3 linked regions of the Saccharomyces cerevisiae S288C genome follow. The gene in region 1 interacts genetically with each later gene. Each region holds a gene or a part of one and is shown on either strand. Other genes may lie near its edges.

What was found.
Region 2: mutations in RSF1 (region 1) and BNA3 together harm fitness more than expected from each alone (negative genetic interaction), as found in Saccharomyces cerevisiae (one large-scale study listed by BioGRID).
Region 3: mutations in RSF1 (region 1) and AEP2 together harm fitness more than expected from each alone (negative genetic interaction), as found in Saccharomyces cerevisiae (one large-scale study listed by BioGRID).

Annotation. Positions count from the first base shown.
Region 1 is NC_001145.3:327,727-333,491, forward strand, and holds RSF1 (Rsf1p), read left to right. Parts: upstream 1-3,066; coding exon 3,067-4,197; downstream 4,198-5,765. Other genes in the region: TAP42 (Tap42p), read left to right, coding at 1-856; FAR8 (Far8p), read right to left, coding at 934-2,505; EIS1 (Eis1p), read right to left, coding at 4,486-5,765. UniProt on the Saccharomyces cerevisiae protein: Mitochondrial and nuclear transcriptional activator required for respiratory growth.
Region 2 is NC_001142.9:320,152-325,778, forward strand, and holds BNA3 (kynurenine--oxoglutarate transaminase), read left to right. Parts: upstream 1-3,234; coding exon 3,235-4,569; downstream 4,570-5,627. Other genes in the region: linker nucleoporin NUP82, read left to right, coding at 1-2,006; amino acid transporter YHC3, read left to right, coding at 4,813-5,627. UniProt on the Saccharomyces cerevisiae protein: Catalyzes the irreversible transamination of the L-tryptophan metabolite L-kynurenine to form kynurenic acid (KA).
Region 3 is NC_001145.3:832,298-838,398, reverse strand, and holds AEP2 (Aep2p), read left to right. Parts: upstream 1-3,300; coding exon 3,301-5,043; downstream 5,044-6,101. Other genes in the region: ATP-dependent DNA helicase YKU70, read right to left, coding at 1-212; RIT1 (tRNA A64-2'-O-ribosylphosphate transferase), read left to right, coding at 1,532-3,073; GPI12 (N-acetylglucosaminylphosphatidylinositol deacetylase), read right to left, coding at 5,146-6,060. UniProt on the Saccharomyces cerevisiae protein: Required for translation of the mitochondrial OLI1 transcript coding for the mitochondrial ATP synthase subunit 9.

The DNA of each region.
Region 1 (5,765 bases):
GATATCAAGACGACAGTCGAATGATTCGGATGTTGCTCAAAGGCAGTCTATGAAATTGATTTACCTGAAAAAAAGCGTTGAATCTTTCATTAATTTCCTGACACTATTGCAGGATTATAAGCTTCTAGATCCTTTGGTTGGTGAAAAACTAGGTAACTTCAAGGATCGTTATAACCCTCAGCTTAGCGAATTGTACGCGCAACCAAAAAATAACAAAGATTTATCTGGAGCACAGTTGAAGAGAAAAGAAAAGATTGAGCTATTCCAGCGCAATAAAGAAATTAGCACAAAACTGCACTGCTTGGAGTTGGAATTAAAAAACAACGACGAGGACCACGACCATGATGAATTACTAAGAGAACTATATTTGATGAGGTTACATCACTTTAGTCTTGATACGATTAACAACATTGAACAGAATTTATTTGAATGTGAAATGCTCTCTAATTTCCTCAAAAATTCCGTACATGAAGTCAAATCATCAGGTACTCAGATACGAAAAGAATCGAATGATGATGATTCCACTGGTTTTACCGATAAATTAGAGAATATAAATAAGCCATTGATAGACAAAAAAGGTCAAGTCTTGAGGAACTTCACGCTTGTCGACAAAAGGCAACAACTGCAACAAAAAGTGCGAGGATATGGTCAATATGGACCAACAATGTCGGTGGAGGAATTTTTAGATAAAGAGTTTGAAGAAGGTCGCGTTCTTCAAGGTGGCGAAGAACCAGAGCAAGCACCAGATGAAGAAAACATGGACTGGCAAGATAGAGAAACCTATAAAGCTCGTGAGTGGGACGAGTTCAAGGAAAGTCATGCTAAGGGAAGCGGAAATACCATGAATAGAGGATAGAAAAAAATACCTATATACGTACACATAAGTATCTATTAGACAGATTCATATATTATTTTTTTTTCTGCCTACATCAGTTATATTTTAATCTTGTGCAAAAGGACTTCGTTATTTTTATTCACGGTGATTAACACCGGCGTAGAATCTACAATCAGATTTGAAGAAAATACCACAGGCTCTTTTCTTTCCGAGAAGTTGATGTCTGCTACGACAAATTCGTCGATGGATGGTTTTAGGTTTTCTAAATTCCTAAACTCAAAGTCTCCATTACTATATGATACGGTGATTATGCTGTCGTTCAAATCGAGTTGTATTGGTAGTGTTGACGATGGAGTCAATTGTTCCTTCAGTACAACTTTTTTCTTATCAAAAGAATAAACCAATAATCTCTCATTGCTTAGCTGAATCAGTAGCTTAGAAGTTTTTCTATCCAAAAATAAATGGTAACCTTCTTCTTCTGGCTTACCCGATAATATTGTATCAATCTTCAAATCAATTTTTTGTAGAAGCTTACCCTCGAAATCATATATGGTAAGCTGGTATGGATTTGAAGACAGTAATATTAAGGATTTTTCTGTTATACCCAATATACAATCCAGAATGTTTGTGGAATCATTACTATCATCGTCATCATTATCATGTGTTATTTCATATGTTTCTTTTATGTTAATTGGGACATCCTCAGGAGCCTCTATATTGTCCAATTCCCAGATTCTAATTTGAGATTTATTCTTACTAGCTATCAACAACCATTTATTTTTGAAGTCTATATTAATGATATCACTAGACGAAAACGGCTGTTCTGAGTCTTGTAATAGGTCCACATCTGAGATCAAAGATGCGCTAGAAATAGAGAACAATTTCAAATGGAAACTCTTTTCAATAACAAGGAGTTTGGACGTCGAAACCCAGAAAAATTTCATAATGTCGCTATCTTGCCCTAAAGATATTTTCTTTAAGAGTTTGGAATTCAAGTTTGCGTCCACTTGGTGTATTTCTAACGATTTGGTGTCTGCATCATAAAGTGCCATACAGTCCCCGTAGGAGCTGATAATGTCGACTTTCGACAATTCCGAGTGTATCTTGGATATTGTTTCATTATTTTCACGCTTGTTGGCTGTGCTAAACAAAGATTTCACTTTGGTTGGTGATGGTGACTCTGAAGGACCTTGCTTTGGATTGGGTTTGGTGTCCAAGAGGGCATTATTTAAAATATCCATCCCATTTGTCTTCGCACTGCCCTCTTCCTTGGGAGTATTCACGTTCAGTTTCTCTAAATCGTGCAATTCAGAACCCGCTTCTCTGCTATTTAATGACTCTAACTGATTGACCGTGTTAGGGCCTTTCAACAAATAAATTATTTCCTTCACATTTTCTTGAACAGCTAGCTTAGACTGCAGTAATGAATCAGGCACATGTTTTTCTTCCTTTTCACCTTCAGGAGAAACAGCTTTCGATTGTATTTGATTCAATTGATGCTTCAAATCTCTATTTTCGCCCTCTAGTTCTGCAATTCTTGCTTTCATTTCCGACCTTTCTAGCTCCCAGGTGATTCTATCTCTTTCATTCTTCGTGAACTCCGTTTGCAAGTAGTGCATTACACCAGGTAACGTGTAATGCGGATGAACATGTGCCTGGTTAATAGCCATATTGTTTTCCGGTCTAACTACACGCACTTACTTCTTTTGGGTTTCTTTATTAATGTTGTTGCTTGCTCCTCACATTTAGTCGTTCTAGGTGGCTTTTATCTAAGATTACGCGACGGGGAAGATCGCAAAGTTAAGACCAATAGAGTACTATACCATATCCCAACAAAGAAGCCTAGGGGATGGTGCAGCAGTAAAAACTGAATAGACTATAATAGATCATCCTACGTAAAACCCGAATAGGTTATCTCTTAAACCTTGTTTTCCTGTAAAGTTGTCCCGCGCATGTGAAGACGCAGAGAGTGGAGATCAATCTTAAAACAACTGAAGCAACTAGCACTTTCTTGACATTTAATAAGGAACTATTATCGCGTAAACCAAAAGAAACGCATGTAAAACATCTGCAAGTTACTCCATCATCTGACACCTAGAGACGTACGTATCAGAACGATTTGAGTGGAGGGGTACAAAAAGGGACTCTGTAGATCAAAAACTGTAATATTATCCTTTTTTTTACTTTCTGAGAAGCTATTCGAAAACAAGGAGATAGAACTACAAGCAGTTATGAAGGACCTAAATCCAGAAATGGGGAAATTTGCTACCACTAAAGGCCCTCCTCAAGACAATAGAGGCATGGTTGATATAGCGACACTGCCTAATTTTCCTGCCAACCGTAGTGGGACTCCTCGTGAGGAGATGTATCTGGCGCCCAACAAGATGGAAACTCCAAGGATACTTAATATGAATATGGTACCGGATTATTTGCAAAAAGAGAACTTCTCGCCAGATTTTTCTTCTGCTACCGTATCTGCCAAGTCATCTCCTGTCAACGTTACTCATGATGAGTCGCTTCCTCTGGGAACTATTGAATCGAATAGCACAAAGGATTCTAAATATGCAGTTCAACGGCAACAGCAACAAGTGGTAGATTTCATAGAGAATAATATGCAGCTACTGTCTTCAGAAACACTAAATTTTAGATCAGACATTATGAAAACTTTGGAGCTTCCCATTCCCAAGAGAAGAGATATTAAGGGAAACCATCTATCTAAACTATTATTTGCTAAATCACCTCTAACTATCAACACATATTGCCAATTTTATGACCGTAGAACCAAGCGAATTTGCAATCAAGAAATGATATGGAAAGATAAGAACAGTAGAGAGAAGCATGGTTCTAGAAAGTATCAAAGACATTTGAGTAAAGTTCACGATGTCCAGCTAACACCAAATAATTTTACCGAATTTTTTGATCATAATTCTCCACTTTTCCAGGAATGCTATGACTATCAATCTAGATTGATGCGTGATTTACTTGTTGAACCAGATGCCAAATTCAAAGAGAAGAAAAAGAAGAAAAAAGGGGACGTCAACGGAAATCATCCTGAAACCGGATCGAGCCTCATCAACCACCAGGTCCAACAGCAAAATGTTCGAGAACTTCAATCGAAAATAGCCATGAACGACTTGATAGAGATTCTTATCGATTTAAACATTCCGTTTTCTGTTTTAGACTACCAACCAATGAGAAATTGGCTCATCAAATATTCAATAATTTCAACAGATACTTTGCCGGATGAAGTATACTTCAAAACTGATCCAGGCGTGAATGAACTGGAACACAACAGTAGTAATTTAAACAATAGCAATAGCGGTACTCCTCATAATCATAATCAAAACCAACATACCAATTAATTAAAACTTGCTTTTAATCTGCATACATAAAACTTAGATCAAATAAATAAAAAAAAAAGTAAAACAACCATATATACTATTTCATAAGCAAAAGTAATCAAATTAAACAAAAAAAAGAAAATACAAATATTAAATTTAAATTAAGGCAATAAACATATATTATACACATAAAAAGAATAATTAAAGCGCAGATGAGAACTATCTTAATTATCAAAATTCTGTAGTATCCCACTCAACTGTTCAATATCTTAGCCGCACCATTTCTTCGTTATCTAGGCTCACTAGCAATTATTTTTTCTCTTGATTACTAATTGCATCCTGATCGTCTTCGATCGAAGAACCCTGTGAAAAGCCACTAAATGTATGTTCCAAACTATCAGGGCTAACTCCCAATGATTTATTGTTTCCTGCTTTCTGTGAAACCGAGATTTCTTTTGAATGCTCCGCTGATTTACAATCATTAGCGTCTTCTTTTCCACTTGATTTATTTCCGATCGAAATTTTTTCTTCAGGTTCCTTTGTTTGAACAGCAGAACTAGTTTCGGTAGCTTCTTTTGCGGCAGTACTCACCGGAACCCCATCACCACCTGAATTTTTCGTTTCGGCTCCCACTATCTCTTCCTTCTTTAGTTCATCACCTTCCTCTATTTTTTCAAGTTGGGTTGGTAAATCTTCAACATTTTTCTCGACGGATTTGTTTTGTGTTAAATACTCCTCAGAAGTCATACCAATCAATTTTTTAACCTTCTCTTCGTCAATCTTATCATCGCCACGTGCAGAAGCAACATCTTTCATAGCTTCCAACAAATTTAGTTTTTCCTTCTTTAACTCGATTTCGGTCGCGTTCAACTCGCTCTTACGTTCGTTAATCAACGAATCCACTTCCAATTGCTTCAGACGGGCCTCCTTGGTTGATAACTCAGCCTGCTCTTTAGCCTTATTAGCAAGAATAATAACGTCATCATTCAAATGGGATTCCAAGCTTTCTTTAGTTTGACCTAGTTCCAGTAATTTGTCATCCTCTCTGATATTTCTATTCTTCTGGGCGTCAAGATCATTTCCGTAACCAGAGATCTTTCTTTTATGGTCAACTATAGCATCCTGCAATCTTGAGATTTCTGCGTTAATTTCATCGCGCTCTTCCACTAAAGTTTTGTGTTCCGCTTCTGCATTTGCCAGATCGTCATGGTAAGGTTTCAATAGTTCTTCTTGCTCTTTGCGCGCTTCAGTGATATCTTGTTCACATTTCTTACCCCATTCCTCCAAATCTTGATCTAGACGAGCTTTTTCGTCCTTTAACTCTTGCTGCATTTGCTTTTTAAATTCGATCTCTTTGCTCTTGGTATCTTCAAGCAGAGTTTCCCTTTCAGCGACTTTGGTATCCATTCTGGCCACAAGTGCATCAAAGCTGGCTTTAATCTTTTCCTGGGAGGTCTTTTTTTCGGTTTGATGCCTATTAGCCGTAGTAGTCAATACTTTGGCGTCATTAGAAATGATAGAACGTTCCATCGTTTCCCATTCATTTGATGATTTATTATAGGCCTCAGTTCTTTCTGCAATTTCTTCAT
Region 2 (5,627 bases), on another chromosome or scaffold:
ACAATGTACTCACTGATTCACTTTACCACAGTTTGAACTTTAGTCGTCATCTCGTCTTGGATGATACCTTCCATGTAATATCTAGTACGTCTGGTGACCTACTCTGTCTTTTCAATGACAACGAGATTTTTGTAATGGAAGTTCCTTGGGGCTATTCCAACGTTGAAGACGTTTCCATTCAAGATGCATTCCAAATTTTCCACTATTCAATTGATGAAGAAGAAGTTGGTCCGAAATCGTCCATTAAGAAAGTTTTGTTTCATCCAAAGAGTTATCGTGATTCTTGTATAGTGGTTTTGAAAGAGGATGACACTATCACGATGTTTGACATCCTTAATTCGCAAGAAAAGCCTATCGTTTTGAACAAACCGAACAACTCCTTTGGTTTAGATGCACGTGTTAACGACATCACAGATTTAGAATTCAGTAAGGACGGATTGACGTTATATTGTCTAAACACCACAGAAGGCGGTGATATCTTTGCATTTTATCCATTTTTACCGTCAGTATTACTGTTAAATGAGAAAGATCTCAACTTGATCCTAAACAAATCTTTAGTAATGTACGAGTCCCTGGATTCTACAACAGATGTTATAGTTAAAAGGAATGTTATTAAGCAGTTACAGTTTGTGTCAAAACTGCATGAAAATTGGAATTCAAGATTTGGCAAAGTCGACATACAAAAGGAATATCGTTTAGCCAAGGTTCAAGGACCATTCACGATAAACCCCTTTCCCGGCGAGCTGTATGACTATACTGCTACAAATATTGCAACCATACTAATTGATAATGGGCAAAATGAAATTGTTTGTGTCAGTTTTGATGATGGGTCTTTAATCTTACTCTTCAAAGATTTGGAAATGTCAATGTCGTGGGATGTTGACAATTACGTGTATAATAATTCTTTGGTTCTAATTGAACGAGTCAAACTACAAAGAGAAATTAAGTCTCTAATAACGTTACCTGAACAGTTGGGAAAACTTTATGTCATTTCCGATAATATTATACAACAAGTAAATTTTATGAGCTGGGCTTCTACATTGAGTAAATGTATCAACGAATCGGATTTGAATCCACTTGCAGGATTGAAATTTGAAAGTAAACTTGAGGATATTGCCACCATAGAAAGAATTCCAAACCTAGCGTATATCAACTGGAATGACCAATCTAATTTAGCCTTGATGTCGAATAAAACATTGACTTTTCAAAATATTTCAAGCGATATGAAACCGCAAAGCACCGCAGCTGAAACAAGTATCAGTACAGAAAAAAGTGACACGGTAGGAGATGGTTTTAAAATGAGTTTCACACAGCCCATAAATGAGATTCTTATTTTGAACGATAATTTTCAAAAAGCCTGTATTAGTCCATGTGAACGAATTATCCCATCAGCAGACCGCCAGATACCTTTAAAAAACGAAGCTAGTGAAAATCAGTTGGAAATTTTCACGGATATTTCCAAAGAATTTTTGCAAAGAATTGTTAAAGCTCAAACTTTGGGTGTTTCTATCCACAATAGAATTCATGAGCAACAGTTCGAATTGACGCGCCAACTACAATCGACATGCAAAATAATTTCAAAGGATGATGATTTAAGGAGAAAATTCGAAGCACAAAATAAGAAATGGGATGCACAACTAAGCAGACAGTCAGAATTAATGGAGAGATTTAGTAAATTGAGCAAGAAGCTATCTCAAATCGCCGAATCCAATAAATTTAAAGAAAAGAAAATAAGCCATGGTGAGATGAAATGGTTCAAAGAGATACGAAACCAAATATTGCAATTCAACAGCTTTGTTCACTCTCAAAAATCCCTTCAACAAGATTTATCGTACTTGAAGAGTGAACTAACTCGTATCGAGGCAGAAACTATCAAAGTCGATAAAAAGAGCCAAAACGAATGGGATGAGCTACGCAAAATGCTTGAAATAGATTCAAAGATAATTAAAGAATGCAATGAAGAATTGTTACAAGTTTCTCAGGAATTTACTACTAAAACTCAATGAGTAAGCGACTTGCATAGTCTGCTATCATATATGTACGCTAAGAAACAACTGGGCAATGGTATAATATCATGTAGCAAGAGGACATTATATATGAATTGGTCAATATATAAAGCCTTCTGTGCACCAAATCGTTAGGATGATTTTTCAGTATGCTGTATCATTGTATCGTATATTCATTCGTATCTCTTTTACCTCACTAACCGCTGCCAAAATTTACATGTATACAAAATAAAAGTCTTTTTTATGACCTTATTTGGTGAGTAATGCTACTTTTGTAAAGAGTGATGGAAACTATTATTCCAAAGGGTTAGAAGAAGGTGAGGAATACGTTCATATCACCGCTACAGATCGTGTCTCTCGGTTATGAGTAATCAAACCCTCTGCAAGCAACACAGTTACTTTTTTTCGGTTTTTTCTTTTCGTGTGAATTTTTATCCAGTGAGTTTCCTTGTTCACTTTCGAGAATGGAAGGCTGATTTCGAATTTTTATATTCAACAACTGTATTTGTATTAGGCTTTGCAATAGTAGATGAAAAGTGCAGAAGACGAATCTGCTACCCTCACAATACAAAGAAAAACAAAATCGTCATTTTAATATAGGAAGACACCGCTCAGGTAATTCAATATTGAATCTGGTTGCACTTTTCTTACGATGTAAATACCCACAAACTTCTTGTACGGTGAGCGTCTGACAACGAAATCAATTTACGGAGCAAGGATTTTGACAGTAGAGCAGATTGTTTTGAGTAGGATTTAGGAATCAAGACCTCCATCTTTGTCGCATTATTCCTAAATGTAACGTAACTCGTTTGATAAGAGAATGTCTAATCGAAGAGAGTTAATAACTTAATAAGCTCTTTAAAAGAACGATGGCATTTATCGTCTCCTATGCCAAGATAATTACTGGCTCAAAATTGTTCAGCGTTCATAAAACTTTGATATCACTTTCTGGCGCACAAGCTAACCTTTATGTAGTTCTTACGTAGATTCTTTTTAGCAAGTGCCTGGTAGTGGTTATTACATAAATGTATCTTTTCATTTGATAACAATTTCTTCAGTAGCATGTCGTGTCTAGCACGTGACGTAGAACTGTGGCTTTTTTGTTGTCATTATGACAATCAAGATACCAAAATTCAGTCATGTTTAAAAGGGGAAGGTACGATAGAGATATATATAAAGTGTTCAATTTACTATAATTGCGTATAGAATCCATTGTTACTTGCTCTCAATGAAACAACGATTCATTCGTCAATTTACGAACCTAATGTCTACTTCGAGACCGAAAGTTGTTGCCAACAAATATTTCACTTCTAACACTGCCAAAGATGTTTGGTCGCTAACCAATGAAGCCGCTGCAAAAGCTGCCAATAACTCCAAAAACCAAGGCCGTGAACTTATTAATTTAGGCCAAGGCTTTTTTTCATATTCCCCTCCTCAATTCGCCATTAAGGAGGCTCAGAAAGCCCTAGACATTCCAATGGTCAATCAATATTCTCCAACTAGAGGTCGACCTTCATTAATTAATTCCTTGATTAAGTTGTATTCTCCTATTTATAACACAGAATTGAAAGCGGAAAATGTTACCGTAACAACAGGTGCCAATGAAGGTATACTTTCTTGCTTGATGGGGCTTTTGAACGCTGGCGACGAGGTTATTGTTTTTGAACCTTTCTTTGACCAATATATTCCAAATATCGAACTTTGCGGTGGTAAAGTTGTTTACGTCCCCATAAATCCTCCAAAGGAATTGGATCAAAGGAATACTAGAGGTGAAGAATGGACCATTGACTTTGAGCAGTTCGAAAAAGCGATTACATCCAAGACAAAAGCTGTCATTATCAATACCCCTCACAACCCAATTGGTAAAGTTTTCACGCGCGAGGAATTAACCACTTTAGGTAACATTTGCGTCAAGCACAACGTTGTGATTATATCTGATGAAGTCTATGAACACCTTTACTTCACTGATTCTTTCACTAGAATTGCCACACTCTCTCCAGAAATTGGGCAACTAACCTTAACGGTCGGTTCTGCCGGTAAATCGTTTGCTGCTACTGGTTGGAGAATTGGTTGGGTCTTATCCTTGAACGCAGAGTTGTTAAGTTATGCAGCTAAGGCACATACAAGAATTTGTTTTGCATCTCCATCCCCTCTACAGGAAGCTTGTGCAAACTCTATTAACGACGCTTTAAAAATTGGGTATTTTGAAAAAATGAGACAGGAATATATCAACAAATTCAAAATTTTCACATCGATCTTTGATGAATTGGGACTACCATATACAGCTCCAGAGGGTACATATTTTGTCCTCGTTGATTTCTCTAAAGTGAAAATTCCCGAGGACTATCCCTACCCAGAGGAGATCCTGAATAAGGGAAAAGATTTTCGCATTTCTCACTGGTTGATCAATGAATTAGGTGTGGTTGCCATTCCACCAACTGAATTCTATATCAAAGAGCACGAAAAGGCTGCTGAGAATTTGTTAAGGTTTGCAGTTTGTAAAGATGATGCTTATCTAGAAAATGCCGTAGAGAGATTAAAACTACTCAAGGACTACTTATAAGATAAATTTTTTTTTATACTCCTTTTTCTCAATATATAGATTTTATAAAGCATGTATATTTTTATGCAGAAGTGGTAAATATAAACATCAATATTCCAGAATAATTCCATATTTTCTTCGCGTACTACAAGAAAAAGTGAACCCTTAATGAAAAATAGACAATATGAACATTTAGTAATGTTTTGAACAGTGTATTTATAGAGTACTTAAACACATATGAAGATATAGCGCAAGTAAATATAAATGAGTGACAAATCTCATCAGATATATTGCTACTTTTGGCTCTTTGGTTTGATCAATAATGTACTTTATGTGGTAATACTTTCAGCAGCTGTTGATATCGTGGGTCCTACCTTGCCTAAATCTCTAGTATTGCTAGCAGATATATTCCCATCACTCGCCATTAAATTGTGTTCCCCATTCTTTATTGATAGAATCAAGTACAGCTATAGAATATGGTCTTTGATCACGATGAGTTGCTTAGGAATGTTCTTAGTTTCTTTTAAAAACTTGTTTGTTTGTCTTTTAGGAATATCTTTCGCATCTATATCTTCCGGATTTGGAGAAGTGACATTCCTACAGCTAACACACTATTACAAACAAATTTCTTTGAATGGATGGTCGTCAGGTACTGGTGGTGCAGGAATCATTGGCGGAGCATCTTATATGTTCTTAACTTCAATCTTTAAAGTTCCAGTGAAGCTAACTTTACTAGTATTTAGTCTCCTTCCATTTGCATTTTTGTTTTATTTTAAATTAGAATCCAATGATACCAACCTGACTTACCAAAGTCTTCAACAAATTGACGAAGCAGAGGATGACCAGTTGGTGCCCTTTCCTGTCGCCTTTACACATACCAACGCTTCGCAATCCCTGTATTCTACAAGACAGCACATTTTGCAAACGGTCAAGAGACTTCGAAGATTGGTTTTTCCATACATGGTTCCATTGACCACCGTCTACTTATTCGAATATTTAATAAACCAAGCGGTAGCTCCGACCCTATTATTTCCGATTAATGGTGATGAAAGAAGTAAATCGATGCCATTTTTCTTCCA
Region 3 (6,101 bases), 500 kb from region 1:
ATGACCAATTGTGACATTAGCTCATCTAGTGATTCCAGAATTTCCAACAATGGTGATTTATACTCTAGATCAGAGGACTCTTTAAACATTGTCTCTGATAGTTCAATGCAAAACAAAATTCCTTCATGGATATCAAACTTCCTATAACCTGTTTCATCCACTTGATCGTTAAGTTCTCCACTATTGCCAAATGCATTAGTGACTGAGCGCATAATATTCCCGTTTTAAAATCAGGCTTAGAGTCACTTAACAAATCATAGCTTTACTGTTGAAAACTAGAACAGTAATACAGAGAATGTCATTTGGTAGCTACCTTAAAGCAATCCCTAATACATGAAATTGAGAATCTTCAAAAATTAAGGTAATCAAAAGTAAAAAAATATCTCCCGGGGGCGAGTCGAACGCCCGATCTCAAGATTTCGTAGTGGTAAATTACAGTCTTGCGCCTTAAACCAACTTGGCTACCGAGAGTCAATTAACTGATAACCATTCAATTATGAGTCCGTCTAATATCATGCTTATTCACAATTTTAATATAAGCAACCTTGCAGAAGTGACCTGTTGTCAAAACGGAATATCAACTTGATTGAGGGGATGATAATTATCCTATATATTCTATAAATATGGATTATACTGAATATTGGGTGAATAATTTGATAATTGTTGGGATTGCATTGTTGATCAAGGCTATATAATATTATGTACACAGAATATATTAGAAGTTCTCCTCGAGGATAGAAATCTCAAAATGGAATCTATATTTCTACATAATAAAATTACGATTATTCCTCATTCCGTTTATATGTTTCATTATCCTATTACATTATCAATCCTTGCACTTCAGCTTCCATTATACTTGATAACTATTTCTCAATCCTTATTTTATGTTTTTCCACCGCATATTATAATATGCCAGTAATATTTATTCTTATTAATGGTCGTTAATTTCACACCAGGCGTGTTTATAACTGAGTAATCACTTTAAATTTGAGCATCCGGTTTTGCACCGTTAATAGTATCATTGTTAATTAGTAGGCAGGTTGTAGTATATTCTAAGAATAAAACAGGTGCCCTTAATCTGTACAAGAGAAGAGTATGAAATATGAATTACATTGGGCATATCGACTATACGCAATATATCAGTAGCTTCGACGATTTAGGTAGGTATAAGGGTTTCCTATACCTGTATACACAAATTTCAAACTTATGGCCGAGCCAGATAGTCCTTTAGCTATGCCTTCCATTACTTCTTGGAAAGCTTGTTGCATTTCCCGTCATATTATGTACGGTTACAACTTTTTTGTTGATTTCCATGCCCGAAGGGAGCTTAGCATAGCCGCTATTACATAATCTTATCATCTTCATCAAAAATGAACTTCTAAAATCATCCCACCACTCTATTGCTCTTCATATATGCGTTGTATGTTTATGTGCTTTGTTCTTATTACTGCTTAACTGTGACTGGGCCCATTATTCATTGTTCATATGCAGGAAAAAAAAAGCATGCTTGAAAATTTTGATCTCTTGATGGATGGTATCGAGGCTATCAAAGAGATATAGATCCAGAGTACAGTTTAGTATATCCGTGATGGATGAAAATATTTATCTTTCGCTATCTCAGATAAATAAAGACATCAGAAAGGAAAACAAGTCCGTAAGGAATCGACTTCAGAGTATTCTTTTAGACAATAAATTTTTGCAAGATCGAGTTATCCCTATATTTCCCCATTATCCACTGATACCCAATGAAAGATGTGGGCTATGGTACTGTAATCCATCAAGTTTCAAACAGACCAGTTACTTTAAGAGCACAGACGGGCATGTCAACCAATGGGACTTTAGCACCCGAAGATTGAACTTTCATTTGTTAGAGACCATTCGAGATAATAAAGGTATTATAATTGTCGATAGTACTAGAAGAGGTAAAAAAATCCCAGATGCTTTGAGTAAGACTGTCCCCATATGGTGTGCTGTATTAAATACGTTAATGCTTCAGGAAACAGAAAAAAATGTTGCCATCGATAAGGTACTGTATCTTCCACCTGAGACAGTTCCCAAATCAGAATATGACATGATTAAGCGAAAAATACCCGAACTAGTTGCTAAACTACAAAAATTGAATATTATAGATTCTAAGAAATTGAACGAACTGTTTATGGGTAAGTTATTGCGGCCCATATGGGTTCACCCTGGTTCTTCACTTCTAGACCATTCTGTTGATTACTTCACGGGTGAAGTACAGGAGTATGAAGCCTGGGAAACACCTGAAGACCAAAACATAATACCCATTATTTTGTGCACGGTAAGCTATCAAGCACAAGATGGTATGGATAAAAGATACGGCTTCACTTATGTGCAGGGTGCAGCCGACGATCACGAGCTCTGGTCTTTTGGTTTGGATTCAAATATGTTTTGGGCCCATATAGAATACCTAGGCGACGCAAGTTATTCAGACGACCAGTTACATGATTACATCATGGATTTGGCTGCTGCAAAGCTGAGAAATCAGTGTTATATACAAGATAAAGGAAGCTTGGATGAAGTCTTTGGAAACATTGATAAAATTACGAATGAGATATCTCTAGGAAAAGTGAGTTCAGGCTTAACCATCAATAAGAATTTGAAACAGAAATTGAAGTCAGAATATGGTAAAGTTATAATTTTCAGTAATTCGGTGACTGTTGCTGAAGATACAGACGATGAAGAAGAAAGTGGGACAGATCCGTTTATTTCAATATACAAGTTGCAAAGCGGAGACAAGAAAAGTTCAAAAGCTTTACGATCCACATTCCCTAGAATCCATGGAGAAATTCAATCGTTGTTTACAAATCGAGATGAAAAAATAAAGCCAATGCTAATATGCTGCAATACAGGTACTGATATGTCAATCGGTGTCATCTTAAGTATCCTTTGTACCAAATATACTGAAGAATGGATGCTTACGTCGGAGTTACCGGACATCAGTAAGCTTATTGTAAGAAAACACTTGACAAAATTGATTTCCCACTTGAAAGGACGCAACGTTAACCCTTCAAGAGCAACACTGAACAGCGTCAATAGCTTTTTAATGTAGTGAGTTAGGCAATACTGAGATGTTTACTCGCAATGTCACTGTATATTTTAATATCAAATAACGTCAGTTTTTATTAGAAAAAGAGCGGGTTACCGTTTATCCTGAACAGAAAAGGTTCATTGAAAAAGAGCCCTTCAGACATTGGCTAATGAAAAGAATATGTAAAATCAAGAACAAATTAACGAAGCTCTCCTTCGTTAACAGTCCACTACCTAAATTTATGATTAATGTGGATAAATAGACTGGTTAAACATCCATCCTACAGTGTTCTGAGGTTTTACACGAAGAGGCTCTGCACTGTATCAGTGAAATCGCTGCGTGAATTTGGTGTACTGCCGAATAGCACAATATGTCATTCTGTCTATCCCCGAAGAACGTATGTAATGGGTAGGGCTGTCATAAATGATATTTTAATCAAAAAATCCTATTCAACTCACACGGTATGTGCAATTGATCGATCAAAAGATGAAAATAATGGGAGCGCTTATGACAAATTCGAGGCAAAAGGTATACCTATAGATGTTCACACATTAAAACGAATTATCAGCTCGAGTGGAATGGATGAATCCGAATTTTCCAAGAGTATAAGTTACTTATTCGCGAAAACCGTGGACCCTGAACCGAAGGATGTTCTGTCTTTAGAGGACCTGTCTTTTCTTTTGAGCAAACTATACACACAACGGTTTCAAATTAGGAGAATCTGTAGAGACATAAACGCTAAATATTCAGAATTTTGGTTCAAACTTTTTTCCTTATATGCAGAAAAAGTTGATGCCAAGAGAAACCAAGTTAACTTACGGAATACGAAACTAGATGCATGTGAAATATTTGATGCAAATCTTATGATCAAGAACTTTATAGAGCTCGGTCAATTAGGTAAGGCTCAAAAAATTTTAAGCTTTATTCTTGATAGAAATCCTGATATATTACTGTCTCCGAAAAATGCAGATATTAGCACAATAGTTCACTTTTTACAACTGCGTTGTGGCGCTTTGGCGCCTTATTGGAAAATACCAGATAATAGTGAGCAAAAACAAGGTTTTTTAAGAAAAATGGTTCGACTAGGTGCGAAAAATACGTCAATTCGTCTTTCTTCTACTTACAAAGCCATGGATCACCAAACATTATTAAAGATTGCTGATCTTGCTCTGCAGGAGAAAAAGCTTTTGAATTCCGAGGATTTGTTGTCCACTTTAATTCAATCCTTTGGACACCTAGGCCAAACCCAAATATTGGAACGGTGTATTGAACATATATGGCAAATATCACCCCAAGAGTTTCCTAGTCACGTAGTAATTAAGCACCGAGGGTGCTATCCTAGTTCCAAAATACTCGTTTCAATCTTAGTGTCATTCTACTTTAATGACCACGATCTTCACAGAGGCCTAAGTATTTTGGATTCATTCATAAAGCACTATCCGGACGTGAAATTGGATGCGCTATTTTGGAGAAGGCTGTTTCAGCTAAGTCATTTTGCTTGGACACCAGCAAACGACAAGAAAGCCACTTCTGTTGTTAGATGTTGGCATTTAATGAAGCAGTGGTATGCATCTAAGCGGCTAAGGCCTTCAGTTGATTATGAGACGTTGAGACAACTGTACGATATCATGAAGAAAACAGGCAATTTCCCGCTTGGAATTGATGTTTTAAGGAGTTTCAAACCGGGGATCGAAAGAACGAGAGCAGAAAATGCTGGAAAAGTTAACAATATCATTATCAAATACCAAAAATGTATTATTAAGGAGCTTGTAAATAGAGGTAGATTTTCAGCGGTAAGGGAATTCATTGATAGTTATGGTTTTGATAGAAAAATGACCAAAGATTTGAATATTTTTTGTGCGAATCGTATGTTTCTAAGAAGTAAGAAAATGAAAAACAAGATTGAGAACAAAAAGGAAAGGGAGAAAGTGCGGCTAGATAGTTTCGATGACGATGAAGATGATGGTATGATTATAGGTAGCCTTTGGTAAGAAAAGTGTAAGTAGAATTAGCATTTATTTTTCTCCATATTCTTATTCTATAGGATGTAAATAATATGGGACTTTTTTATATATATATCTACAGTGTAGAGTCTAATATGTATAAACATCAAATTCATTAACGAAGACAAATCTGGAAAATATCCACCATCCGTATCTAAACCACACAACTTGGGATTCGTGAGCATTTAGCATAGTGGCAAACGCTAGTACGTATTGTGCATGTGTATTCATAAGTGAAAGCTTGTCTTTTTCGGCGGCTGTGTTAGGCGGAAGCGCCTGAATTATTCTACGGAATGGAGAAATCAGGTCGTAAAGTATTTTTAGGATTTCCCAAATAAAGGAGTTGTACTTTAAAACGATGTTGTTCTTGTAGCTTCTCAAATAAAGCGCAGTGACATGAGGTGGTTGTTCATTTCTTTTGGTCTTAGGTTGAGCATAATCATCCACCAACTTTTTAACGGCAGCATAACAGCTTTTGTGGTTGATATGATTTGATACACCATATGAATCAAAGGTAACGATAATCTGGTTCAAGTTATGATTCTTTATATCTATCTTTTGTGAAAGAGAAGAAGTTATAGAATCAATATCCCATATTTCGTCCATACCATCCTGGAAATCCATCACCTGTACGGAGACTGCTCTTTCATTGTGTAGCAATAAAGCGGCCGACTCATTTAATTCTCTTACCCTGGTTTCGCCAAGACCTTCGGCGTTGCCCTTTGATAAGCAGATTATGTTAAATGGGACGGTTCTCGGAAAGTACGAATTCAGTTGAGAAATTATGGGGGAAAAAAACATAACTTCGTCGTCAGGGTGCGCTATGACCAAATTGATTTCATAATCGCCATATTTATGAGGAAAAATATGCTGCAATGATGCATTGTTTCGGGAGACGATTTTGGGCGTAAAATAAATATATAGGATCGTCAGTACTATTGCTAGTTTAGTAATCTTGTAAAGCAATTTTGAAAAATTTACCTTTGTACGCCTCAACATCTTCATTTAACTTTTCTTCAGGGTTTGAAAGAATCTAATATACGGCT